2 linked regions of the Oryzias latipes genome follow. The protein of the gene in region 1 interacts with the protein of each later gene in a biochemical or structural test. Links are inferred from orthologs where the notes say so. Each region holds a gene or a part of one and is shown on either strand. Other genes may lie near its edges.

The links.
Region 2: the proteins of ubiquitin-conjugating enzyme E2 D2 (region 1) and rchy1 form a complex in vitro, tested with the Homo sapiens proteins (9 studies listed by BioGRID and IntAct, with this or other methods). The link is inferred for Oryzias latipes from reciprocal best matches to the Homo sapiens genes UBE2D2 and RCHY1.

What each region holds. Positions count from the first base shown.
Region 1 is NC_019880.2:25,334,814-25,340,701, reverse strand, and holds the start of ubiquitin-conjugating enzyme E2 D2, read right to left. Parts: upstream 3,536-5,888; 5' UTR 3,146-3,535; coding exon 3,122-3,145; intron 2,392-3,121; coding exon 2,328-2,391; intron 2,184-2,327; coding exon 2,152-2,183; intron 2,024-2,151; coding exon 1,946-2,023; intron 1,730-1,945; coding exon 1,624-1,729; intron 1,515-1,623; coding exon 1,421-1,514; intron 1,334-1,420; coding exon 1,285-1,333; 3' UTR 1,284-1,284; intron 399-1,283; coding exon of another isoform or gene 353-398; 3' UTR 1-352. Other genes in the region: RING finger protein 145-like, read right to left, coding at 5,815-5,888.
Region 2 is NC_019867.2:25,251,934-25,257,632, forward strand, and holds the start of rchy1 (RING finger and CHY zinc finger domain-containing protein 1), read left to right. Parts: upstream 1-2,301; 5' UTR 2,302-2,395; coding exon 2,396-2,446; intron 2,447-2,863; coding exon 2,864-2,983; intron 2,984-3,083; coding exon 3,084-3,199; intron 3,200-4,576; coding exon 4,577-4,655; intron 4,656-4,748; coding exon 4,749-4,793; intron 4,794-4,890; coding exon 4,891-4,949; intron 4,950-5,699. Other genes in the region: nucleolysin TIA-1, read right to left, coding at 325-350. UniProt on the Homo sapiens protein: E3 ubiquitin-protein ligase that mediates ubiquitination of target proteins, including p53/TP53, TP73, HDAC1 and CDKN1B. Mediates ubiquitination and degradation of p53/TP53; preferentially acts on tetrameric p53/TP53.

The sequences.
Region 1 (5,888 bases):
GATTTTCCAGCCCTGCCGTTAGAGGGTTGCCAAAACAAAGCTTTTCTTCAAAGGGGGAGTGTCTGTCAGACCAGCTACATGGATAGACAGGTGACGAGTCAATAACAATAAGGCTCTGAGCATCCTCAGACCAAAAAGCTGATTTCTTTTCTCCAAAAACTGCAATGATACTTGAGTTTGGGTTGGGGGGGCTAGAGAGAAAACGCTGTCGTTCTCATAGTCAGGAAAACAAAGAAAATGATGGGGGGGGGGGGGGGGGGTCAAGTGGTGATTAATAAAAACAAAAAGTGAAAAAGAAAAACCCAAACTTTAATCTTAAACGAACAGTTTCAGCAGCTTCCGATGAACGCCGTCACATTGCGTACTTTTGTGTCCATTCTTTTGCCATTTTGGTGTATCTGTAGAGGGATAAAAACAGATTTTAGAGGGGGGGGGGCTGCATTTTCAATCCAACTTCTTTACATAACTTTGTAGGGTGAGAAGGCGTAGTGGGAGGAGCCACAACAGCAGCTACAACCTTAAGCAATGCGGTTCGCATTCAGGCAGCGCCACAAGATACAAAAAGCGGAAACTCATACCTTGATTAGTAGACATGTTTACTAGCAGACCTTCAACCTGGATGTGCTGAACTTTTAAGACCCACTCCACTGAAAATAGTGTTTTTAATACGTTCTATCGGAGGTTTTCTGATGGAGGACATTACATAAATTAAGCTATTCAAACCTTGTGAATAAAGACAGGATTAAAAAAACCTGTTTCCTCGTCTGAGCTGGCATCTGGCTAAAAACTGTACCACTAGATAGCTTCAATATTGCTCAACATTTTTGTTGCACTGCTAATGTTAGCTTGGGGCTGTGAGGGACTTTAAGCTAGGGGGAGAACACGTAAACGGGGAGCTCTCAGTAATGGGGGGGGGGGGGGTTGCTCTGCATTAGCAATAGTCATATTTAAAAGACCAGTGAGAATGCTTTGAAAATAGATCAAAAGATGATCAAAGTGGGACTTTAACCACACCAGACACATTTGTGCCTGACCCCAAAAGCTACTTAGCAGGACACGTCAAATTGAACCACTTTTTCACTGTCATGCATACAGTTCATTTCCCGTCAAACTCGTCACATTCAGAACGTCTGAAGAAAATCAGATCAAATCTGAAGCTGGGGTACAAAAGGGAGACTGAATCTGACCGAGTACACTGGTTGTGTGCACACAGATTAGTGCAACAGTTAGATCTTTGCCAAGGTGAGAAAGAGATACCAGTCAAGATGCAGCACTAGGCTTACCCTACAGCATGGCATACTTTGCCGTCCACTCCTGAGCTAGTTTATTGTACCTAACAAAGTGAAATCCACGCACATGGATCAACCAAAAAAGGTGGGATCAGGGTCTTGTCACATGCAAAAGGACGGCTTTTACTCACTTCTGACCATCTGTTTTGTAGATCCGTGCAATCTCTGGCACTAATGGGTCATCGGGGTTTGGGTCACATAGGAGTGAGCAAATGGAGAGAAGAACTACAAGAGAAAAGTTTACGGAAACTCAGTTTGACATCGGAAGGCAAACTTCTTCCACAACATTAAAAGACATTAGTTAATTATTAAACGTCAAACTACAGCTTCCTACCTTTAGAAATAGTAAGTGCAGGAGACCACTGTGATCTGAGAATATCCAGACAGATACTGCCATTACTGTTAATATTTGGGTGGTAAATTCTTGTTGTGAATGCCACCTGAGGGAGAGACGCAACAAAAATCTGAGTTATGCAACGCAGATCCTGCGACAGAACAGGCTGGACCGGCAGATGATGTAAACAGGAAAAAAAAAGAATTACAGTTTCACTTTGTTCCGAAATCAAACGCTTTGTCTAAATCAAAAGGCAGCACCACATCCTGTCTTAACTCATTACTATGGAAACGCACAGAAGACACCCGTCATAGCAGCTCACCTTTGGGGGTTTGAAGGGGTAGTCTGTTGGAAAATGAATTGTCAGGAAGAAAACACCTCCCTGATATGGACTGTCACTCTGCAAGGAGAAGTTTAAACCGAGTTAAGGACTGACAGATCCAAGCATAAACATTTGCCGTTATATGAAGAAAGTGAGACCCCCCCCCCCACCACCATAACATGACGGGAAGGTCAAAATGTACTCACAGGTCCCATGATGGTAGCCTGCCAGTGAAACACTGCAAGGACAAAAATGAAGCATTATAAAGAAGCTTACAGGTCACTGTGACTGTCACAGCCTGCCAGGAACGCTGTTTCCTGTTCACGGCATCCACTAACATATGTGGTTTTCAGATTTACATCAGTGTGTTCGGATCACTTACTGTCATCTCCCACCGGGCCAGCAGAGCACTGAGCTGGGGGGTCACGAGCCAGGTCATTCAGTTCCTGTCAGGAGAGGAGCTTCAGTCAGTCATGAAGATACTAGAGTCTGACGAACGTCAACATCTCCAAACACCGAGTATGTGAGGAACAACGTCCTCCCTGGTTAAGGTTACCCCCATACCCCCTCCCCCGGACGGGCCCGCACAGCCCAGTTTTTATATCCACAGCAAACATACAGCCCGTCCATATAATGTTTATTTTTAGGTGACCGTCTATTTTGGAGCGGATGAGCCGGGCCCCACCCCGGCCTTTCCTCATAGAGGCTTCCAGACACCGGCAAGTTGCGGGCGGCCTGCCGGTTTCCGGGGCTGCCCGGTTCCCATCCGGGCCGGAGTTAACTCAGCCGGGCGCGCACACGCGCGACGAGGCTAATCGTGACGTGGGCCCTGGCCGGCTTGGTCAGGTGTGAATCACGGAGAACCGAACGCAAAAACAACGACCGAGACCGGTCGGCCCTGACAGACGTCAGCCCCAACAGAGAGGTTAGGTCGAAAATCGAAACTGCTAATGATTTAATGATAGCTGGCTGGCTGGCGAGCTGCGCGTCAGCCGGTTGTAACACATTTCTGACACACAAGTATCTGGACTGAAAACTATAACCGCCATCAAGCCGAGCAGAGCTCCACACCTGAACCTCGAAGCGACACTTCCTCGTTAGCCTTGACGGAGAATAGTTAGGGAGGCTAGCATGGAAAGCTAACACCGTTAGCACGCAGTTCCGCCGTTCTCTTACCTTGTGGATCCTTTTAAGGGCCATCCTCCCTCCGTGTTTGGGGTTTTCGTATTGTTGATACAGAAAGTGAGCACAAAGGCGGGCTGTGATGTTCCAGGATGACCGCTTCGATTAGATAATTCACGCTGGCTCAGCTCCACGGCCTGTCTGCTTAAGCTAGCTGATATGATAGCAGGTTAAAACTACGTATGCGGCCAAGACTTCACGAAAACTGGCTACGTTCCTCAGGAACTCCTTTCTTTTGGTTCGGTTCTGAAATATCCGTGTCCCCTCGGGAATTGACTAATTGCGAACGCCAGGTGGATAACCCCGGCCTGATATAATTGCCCCTCTTCAGGTTTCGGTCGATGCTGTTAGCTAACTAGCCGCTGTCCACATACAGATGAAGCTTTATGCCGTGAGGGCGGAGCCAGAATCCTGTGAGGGCGGAGTCAGTCAGTGGGAATGCGCCGTCATCCTGCTGTGAGGGCGTGGTCAGTTCGCCATGAGCGTGAATGAGAAAGCAGAATGAGAAATTATTGTCAACAATTTTATAACTTCCTGTTCATCCCTGCAGTTTTTTACACAAGACTTTTCTCACCTTTGTGTACAGAAATATAGAGTTTAAAATTTATATTTTTAGTGATTTATTGTTAACTATGTAGTTTCTAAAAGCAGCTGTTAAATAAAACTGATTATTAATAAATTAATTCCATTATTTTAACTGGATGACACTATAATCAGAACATCAAATTTTAAAATAAAGGGGCGGAGTCAAAATGGTTACGTCCTTCCTTATTGTAATGAGGATTGTGTGCTTCAGTGTGTTGTTTCATTTTGTGACTTTTCATCCGTTTGTCCCAGACAAATGCTCACCTGCATAAGTTCTCATTACTTCTTCAGGTCTTGCTTTTTTTATATTAGTTCCACTTGTAAATTTTCCTAGAAGTCCTAAATACACTTGGAAGATGAATTCTTACTTTTTCAGCTAAACTCCATGTCAGGAATGACATTCCAGAGTTTACTCTGAAAATATTCTTGAGCGTGAAAACTGTCACCTCTTTTGCTTTAGCAACATATTTCCAGATTAGTTGGGTAGAAACATTTGAACTTTGAAACATGCAGAGTAGAAAATGTCATTCTTTACTGTCCATTTCTGATCAGTTTACACATCATTCTCTTCTAAATATGAGCATCCAATTACAAAAGAGTCACCTATTTGGCTATAATTTTCTTCTGTGACACTACAAATTCAGATCTTTTCTATGGTTGTTTTTTATGGCTTTACCTCTTTCGTCTTCTAGATTTTTTCCATCCTGATTGTCATGTTCAACTTTTTTTCACCATGGATGTTTCAGAAATTGAAATGTGATTCAATAAACCTGGAAAGCTGAGTAGAGGAGGAGCATATGTGGGAAATCAGTCATTCAATTCCTTCAGATCTGTGCTGAAAAATACAAAAAATGTTGATGTGTTCAGATGCAGACCTAGATAATTTTATCTTTACTCTTTCTCTAATATCTTGGTCGTATATCTTTCAATTTCTGCTAGAAAAATTCACCTGCAGCCACTGTGTGTTATGTTTTAATAGGTTAAAAAAATAAACTTGTGGAAAAACATGAATAGTAGGTATGCTGTGTGGCACGTCAAATTAATTACCAAACACTCTATGTAAAATGACGTTGCTTTAAAATATGTTGTTTGTATAAAAAAGCAAATAAATGGCAATGATCTCCAACCGTCTTTATAGAACCCAGCATGGAGAGCATAAAAGCTCCTATCAAACAGTCTTTGAGACCAGACACCCATCTGGAAACATCTCCAGCATGTCCCAAATGAATTTGCTTGAAATTTGAATGTTTGTGTTTCTCGCAGCCGGTGGTGACGCAGAGACAAACAGGAACTGGCAGTTCCAGGAAACCGTAGCCAGTATTTCTGTCCTCAACTGTTTGTTGTTGGACTGAACGTCAAACTAAACTTCATCAAGCTTCTCTCCAGACATTTAGGCAGAAGCCCAGCTGGAGACTCAAGTAAAACAAAAATAAAGGCCCACAACAGAAAGAAAAGACTTTAATTTCACCTACCTTTTAACTTCTGGGTTGTTTCTGGTGCCAAACACAGCTGAGAAGGTCTGTAAAACCACACAGGATGTTTCTGAAATGATGTTTAAGGTTCTGTTGGTTTCCACCTGCAGCTCTGTTCAACTAGTTAACAAGCCAGGAGGCACACCAGATGATAAAAAATGACGTAAACATCGGGTTTTATCAGTTTTCACTGCATTTTAAGAACATTGCTAAATACAATTTCTACTGCATCATAAGAAAATTGTCAAACAAACAGAAAAATGTCACATTAATGGTGTGACGGAGGCTCCAAACCCCCAAACGTTATACTGTAGATCCAGACAGCTCCTCAGCATCAAATATGAAGAAAAGGTGAGTTTAAAAAGTCAATTTCAAGTATACGTCTTCTGAAAACAGCAAATTCTGCTTCATGTTTCAGGATTTTATTCTTTATTTACAGCTGCGAAACCAGCTCAAGGTTCCGACCCACAGCAGTTTTGTCTGGAGTGAAGAACATTCACTGACACTTCTGATAAAACTAGGTTTGAACCCCGCCCTCCTGTGGAGAGTCGCCGTTTCGCACCCCTGCAGGCACTGATACAGGGCTTCTGCTGCAGCCTCTGTGGGTTCTGCTGACTGGAGATTCTCCGACTATCTGACGTCAGAGTGCACTCCAGAGGGGAGGTCCAGCTGATTTATGGTGGTAGGGTCCTCCTGTGCTGGAT
Region 2 (5,699 bases), on another chromosome or scaffold:
GTTATTACAAAAAGATGAAGAAAATATGTGCAATGGTTTACATATTCAGCTAATGATAACCGGGGACTAGCTAGCTAAATATATTTCCATGCGAGTTACAGTTCCGCATTTTCAAATCTAAGTTTTTGTTAGTAGGACAAGAATATTTGTTCAATGTAATCACAATTACCTGGACTAACAGAAAAACTACCGACTGTTTTTTAAAGACATTATTACTCATTGTGTGGCAGAGTTTTAATTTAAATAATGTGGAAACGTCTGAGAAGCACGGTGAATAGACGAAGCCATTACATTCCTGGACATAGACACAGCCGCTTCACTCACAAGGTTCTAGGTTGATCGTCTTCCATCGTCAAGGTGTAGTGGTCGCGTCCGGAGAGGCTTTTAGTCCAATAACATACGAATAATTTATGTTAAACGTAAGTTAACCTAAACATAAAAAATAAATATGTACAATTTAATGATTAGTCTGTGGGCGATTTTGGTTCCACACACACCACAGAGAGCCTCAGTCTGAAGCAAACAATAGGAAGTTGAAGATGGCGGAGGAATGGCGTCAGAAGCGTCAACCTCGCTGCGCGCTAAAATGCTGCCAACATCAAGAACATTCTCTCACACCAGAAAAATGACCATAAGAATTGGTAGACTTCAACAAACCACATCTTTTTTGTGTAGACCGATAAATATTTAACTAATCGTTTAATTTAAATCAGAAAAACTGGAAATTTTAAGAGAATGTACTGCAACACAGTTATGGAGTTATTGCACCATTTTTTTTTCTTTTTTTTTTTTACGTTTTTCTACAGTTTGCGAAACGAACTAACTAAACCAACTAAACGAAAAGCAAGCCAAAATAAACAAAACGGCAGTGCGCCGCCCGGGAATCGAACCCGGGTCGCAAGAATGGGAATCTTGCATGATACCACTACACCAGCGGCGCTACGTGTGATTACCGGACGTACTGATAAAGATATACCTAGGCAAAAATGAGGTGGAAGAAAAGTCTTTGATGGGAAATATTGGAAACAAAAAATTACTTTTCTACTCGTGAACTCACAGGAATAATTGCTGACTTTTTCATACATATTCTAAGTATATGCTTCCCCATGTAGAATATATCAAACAACTTGGGTGTAAACGAGGTTTGTGGGATTTTCTAGAAGCAAAGTATTCTTGTTGTAATAAATATCAGGTTAGAATTTAATTTAAAACAAAAAATTGAGGTACAATTAAGGAGAAATCTAAAGGCGTGTTTGCTTTCACCTTCATTTTCCCCTTAACACTGACTTATTCATTTCAGTCTTTTGATAACATCATTGTTTCTGCTTTTACAGCAATATAAACATCAAAACATTGTTTTAATTAAATCTCTTGAACTACTGAAAATACTTTCTTGCCAGCCCTTTTGACACCACATCTTGGGACTTCAGTGGTTGTCTCTGCAAGTTCTGCAACCACTTGAGGGTTTCATCACTGATGCCCTAACTTTACAGAAATAAAGCAATAATATAGGGAGATTACCACATTGTACACATTTTCTTTTTTTAAAAAGTATGACTTAGAAAAAACTCTACCTAAATATTAATACATCTTTCATTGTAATAAAATTGAAAAAATTCTGTTTATTTAATTATCACAATGTTTAGTATAACTGTATCTCGTATAAGTTGCTTTTACCCAAGCAAATTTACAGTGCTTTTATTTTGGTAACATAAAATATATATAGGGAACAGTCAACATTGTCTGAGTTTTCCACAACAAAAAATTGTTCAGTACAAGAAAAAAAAATAGAATAAATGTCCCTTAACCAATACGGTTCTAAAAATATGTTTGAAGAAATAAAAGTCTGCTTATTTTCACATTTAAGAGGCCTTCTAAAAGTACACAAAAGATGCTGCACTAACAGCCAAAACAATGAAAAACGTCAGTCTTACAAACTCTTGATTAGTTTGCAGAACCATCAATACTTAAACCACTTCATTCTTTTTTATTCATCATTGCCAATTTCTGTTGTGTTTTAATAAATTTTACACACGATACAAAGACGTTTTAGTTGGACAGACTTTTTCTTTTTAGTTCTAGATCAAATTTAGTAGGAAAGCTTCTTTATTTCCCTTGAATATAAATAATACATTCAAGGGAAATATATTTTAAAATATAAATTATCTTGAGGAGGACATATACAGCATACAGTTATCTATTGACAGACGCTACGGTAATAAACTCACATCCCAGACCAGAAGGTGGCGGTAATGCGCCGTTCTGTTGTTTGCCACCCGCTGTATATATATTTAAAAAAAACTTTTAAAAAAACGTCCAACGAAGAAGAAGAAGCGAGCAACCTTCTCGCCTTCGTGGCAACGGACACTTCGAGAAGCTTGGGTTTGGAGACAGCATGGCTTCACCTGTCGGTTGTGAACATTACGTACGCGGTTGTTTGTTAAAAGTGAGTACCCGTTGTAGCCTCAGCGGAAGCAAAGCTGTATGCTAGCGTAAAATGAAACAAAGGACGGACAGGCCAGGGGGCTAACTCAACAACAACTGTAGTGGCAGACCCAGTCACCGTTTGTCCGGAGCGTTATGACAGTTTTGACAGATGGAGCTCATGTCCACTTTAAGATATTGGCAGGACGTCGAAGTTAATGGGTTCCATGTGTTTTGTTTAAAGGATATACACTTCATATTAAGTTTATGATTTTGCGACTACTGCTCTGCTGCTGCTTGTGTTCCTCAGCCGCACATTGCCACATCGTTATATAATTGTTAACCGACATTTCTTTAACGTTTCCTGAGATGCCTACCAGTTAAACCCCATCCAGATGTTGATGTTCCCCTAACGTTTGCGTGTTTTTGTGAACTCCAGGCGCCGTGCTGTGGGAAACTGTACGTGTGTCGTCTGTGCCATGATGCTCAGGAGAACCACCCGATGGATCGCTTCAAAGTCAGAGAGGTGCAGTGCTCCAAGTGTAACACCTTGCAGCAGGTAAGTTGCATAAATAAAATAAACCACCAGCTGTAGTTGATGACTTTTTATTTTTATGCACGTTACCCTAAATGTGTCCTGTTTGTGCATGCTTCTCTAGGCCCAAAAAACATGTCAGCAGTGTCAGTTACAGTTTGGGGAATATTACTGTGACATCTGCCATTTGTTTGACAAGGATAAGAAGCAGTACCACTGCCAGCCCTGTGGAATATGCAGGTAAATGTGTCATTAACGGCAAACACTCATCAACGGTTTACTAAATGGCGTATACTTATATGGCGCTTTTCTACCTTCTTCAGGGCCGTAGCGCTTTAGTCACAATCCCATTCACCCATGCACACATTCATTCACACACTGGTGGTCTCAGGAGAAAGTTAGGATTTTGTCTAATAATTAGAGGTGTAGCGACTGATCGACTTAATCAGTGAATCAATTTATATTCCTAATATCCAACAAGATCGATCTGTCTGAGGCAACAAATCGACTTAAACCACTATGAAACTGTTGAAAAATGAAACATACCCATAATATCTATTGAAAAAAATCTCTGTCTTTCTCTGTATCTGAAGATATTTGCATGCTTTGGATTTATCGATCGATGTTGTTCTGGCTGTTTTCAGAAACACTTTATTTTTAAAAATCTATACTTGATCCTAATTCTTTTGCTGTATGTTAAAAAGCTCAAGTACAATGGGATTGTCTGGTAAAAGAAAAGTTGTGCATTTCTAATGAAGAAACAAACAGGAAATCTAAACAGTTGCAGGGGAAACGTGAGTTATCGGTATCGGCTGGAAAAAATTATAACCGCCCATCCCTAGAAGAGACACCACAGAAGAGGCTGATTGACAAAACCAACAAGTCACAGTGAAAAAGAATCAATAAAACAGCGAGACAGCGAAATATAGCGAAGGAACACCACCGGTAGTGATAATATTCTCCTAAAGTTTGGTACATCAGAGGAGGAACGATGCAGGCAGCGCCATGAACAGGCAAAGCCCACGCCATGTAAAATTAGGGTCAGCAGCGAAAAGTCTGGATTGAAAATTTTAACTGAGGTCTAAAAGCAAAGAGGGGAAGAACCAAAAAAAAAAACAGACGTTGAAAAGAAAAAAAGGCTGCTGTTAGAAATAAACATAATTTTCAGGTTTAAAGTTGTTTTTTAAAAGTCAAATTTACTTTTTTGACAAATTTTCAATAATTCTTTCAACTTTGTTTTGGTCAAAGTCATAATTTCTTTGTTTGTTTTTTTTCAAATTTTTAATAATTCCTTGAAGTATACAAAATGTACTTTCAAGTCTTAATACAGTTTTCAAGTTTTCCTTCTCTTCAAATTTACAAAATGGGTTTTCATTCAGTTTATGCTGTTCCCAATTTCCCTCCATAAAAAATGTCCTGGATGGAGTTTTAGGTCAGTGAATCAGTTCGTTCAAAATGAAACGATATCACCTATGAATCATATCAGCAACCACAAATTCTGATATGAATCAAATTGTTAAAATTAATCTTTAAACCCCTAATAATAGTTCATTTTTTCTTTTTTATCCAGTTACCCACTAACAGATGAGTAAACTATGTGTGTTCTGGTATTGGCAGGATTGGACCCAGTGAGAAGTACTTCCATTGTGACAAGTGCAATTTGTGTCTGGCCCAGGATCTGAGAGGAAACCACAGAGTGATTATGATTATTCACCTCCTTCTGATTCACTCTAATGGAAGAAGTTCTCACTTTGTTTTACTGACTTTGGTTTTTTTTGATTACTTTCAGTGTGTCGAAAATGTCTCTAGGCAGAACTGTCCGGTTTGTATGGAGGTATGAAACCTTAAAGTACATGTAAAACTAATATTGGATTTTCGTCTTTATTTGAGCCCAACTGTTTTTTTTTTGTTTGTTTTCTCTTTGTCAAAAGGATATTCACACGTCCAGGATCGGTGCTCATGTCCTTCCATGTGGCCATCTTTTACACAAGTGAGGCGACTTTTCTTTTCTGTTGGCTTAGGTTTATGTGTGTTAACTGCAAATAACAGTTTACAGACGAGCTGCAATGATTTCAAGCTATTTTATAAATACTTTAAACAGATTTCCTTTTAGAAGCACACAAATTAACACCACCAATGAGTTGAAGTGTCTAAAAAACTTGTCAACTCTTTTGAAAAGTAATAAATCCAGAAAATATAAATTTATTTTTTATCGAAAATGTGCTTTTTACTTTGAGATGACTGTAAACAGCAAAAAAACTTTGCTGTATTTGTGCTACTGACATATATTAGAAACTTTTTTTTTGCATTTTAAATGTGTTTATCACTTGACGAATGTGAGTAGTAAACAGATGTAAGAAAAAGTACCCGAAGCTTTTGGATATTATGGGTTTGTGCAAGAATCAGACAGACGGTTTGTTCTTGTCTTCACCTCCAACAATAGAAACAGAACAGTCTCTCTAAACTAAACACAGACAGGTGCTTTTATTGAACAAAAAAATATATATTCACAATAGTCTGTGAGAAAAGTATGTGAACCCATAATTACTTCTCCAAGAACTAATCAGACCAGGAGATGGGAAACCTGGAGTCCACTCAATGGGATGAGGTTAGATTTGGTTAAGGTCATGGCTCCCAAAAGAGGTTTAAAAGCATTTGCTTAACAAGCTATTTGTTCTGTGAATGTTTACATATTGTGTTTGATAAAAGCAGAAAAGACTAAATGCCTGTGTGGTATTAG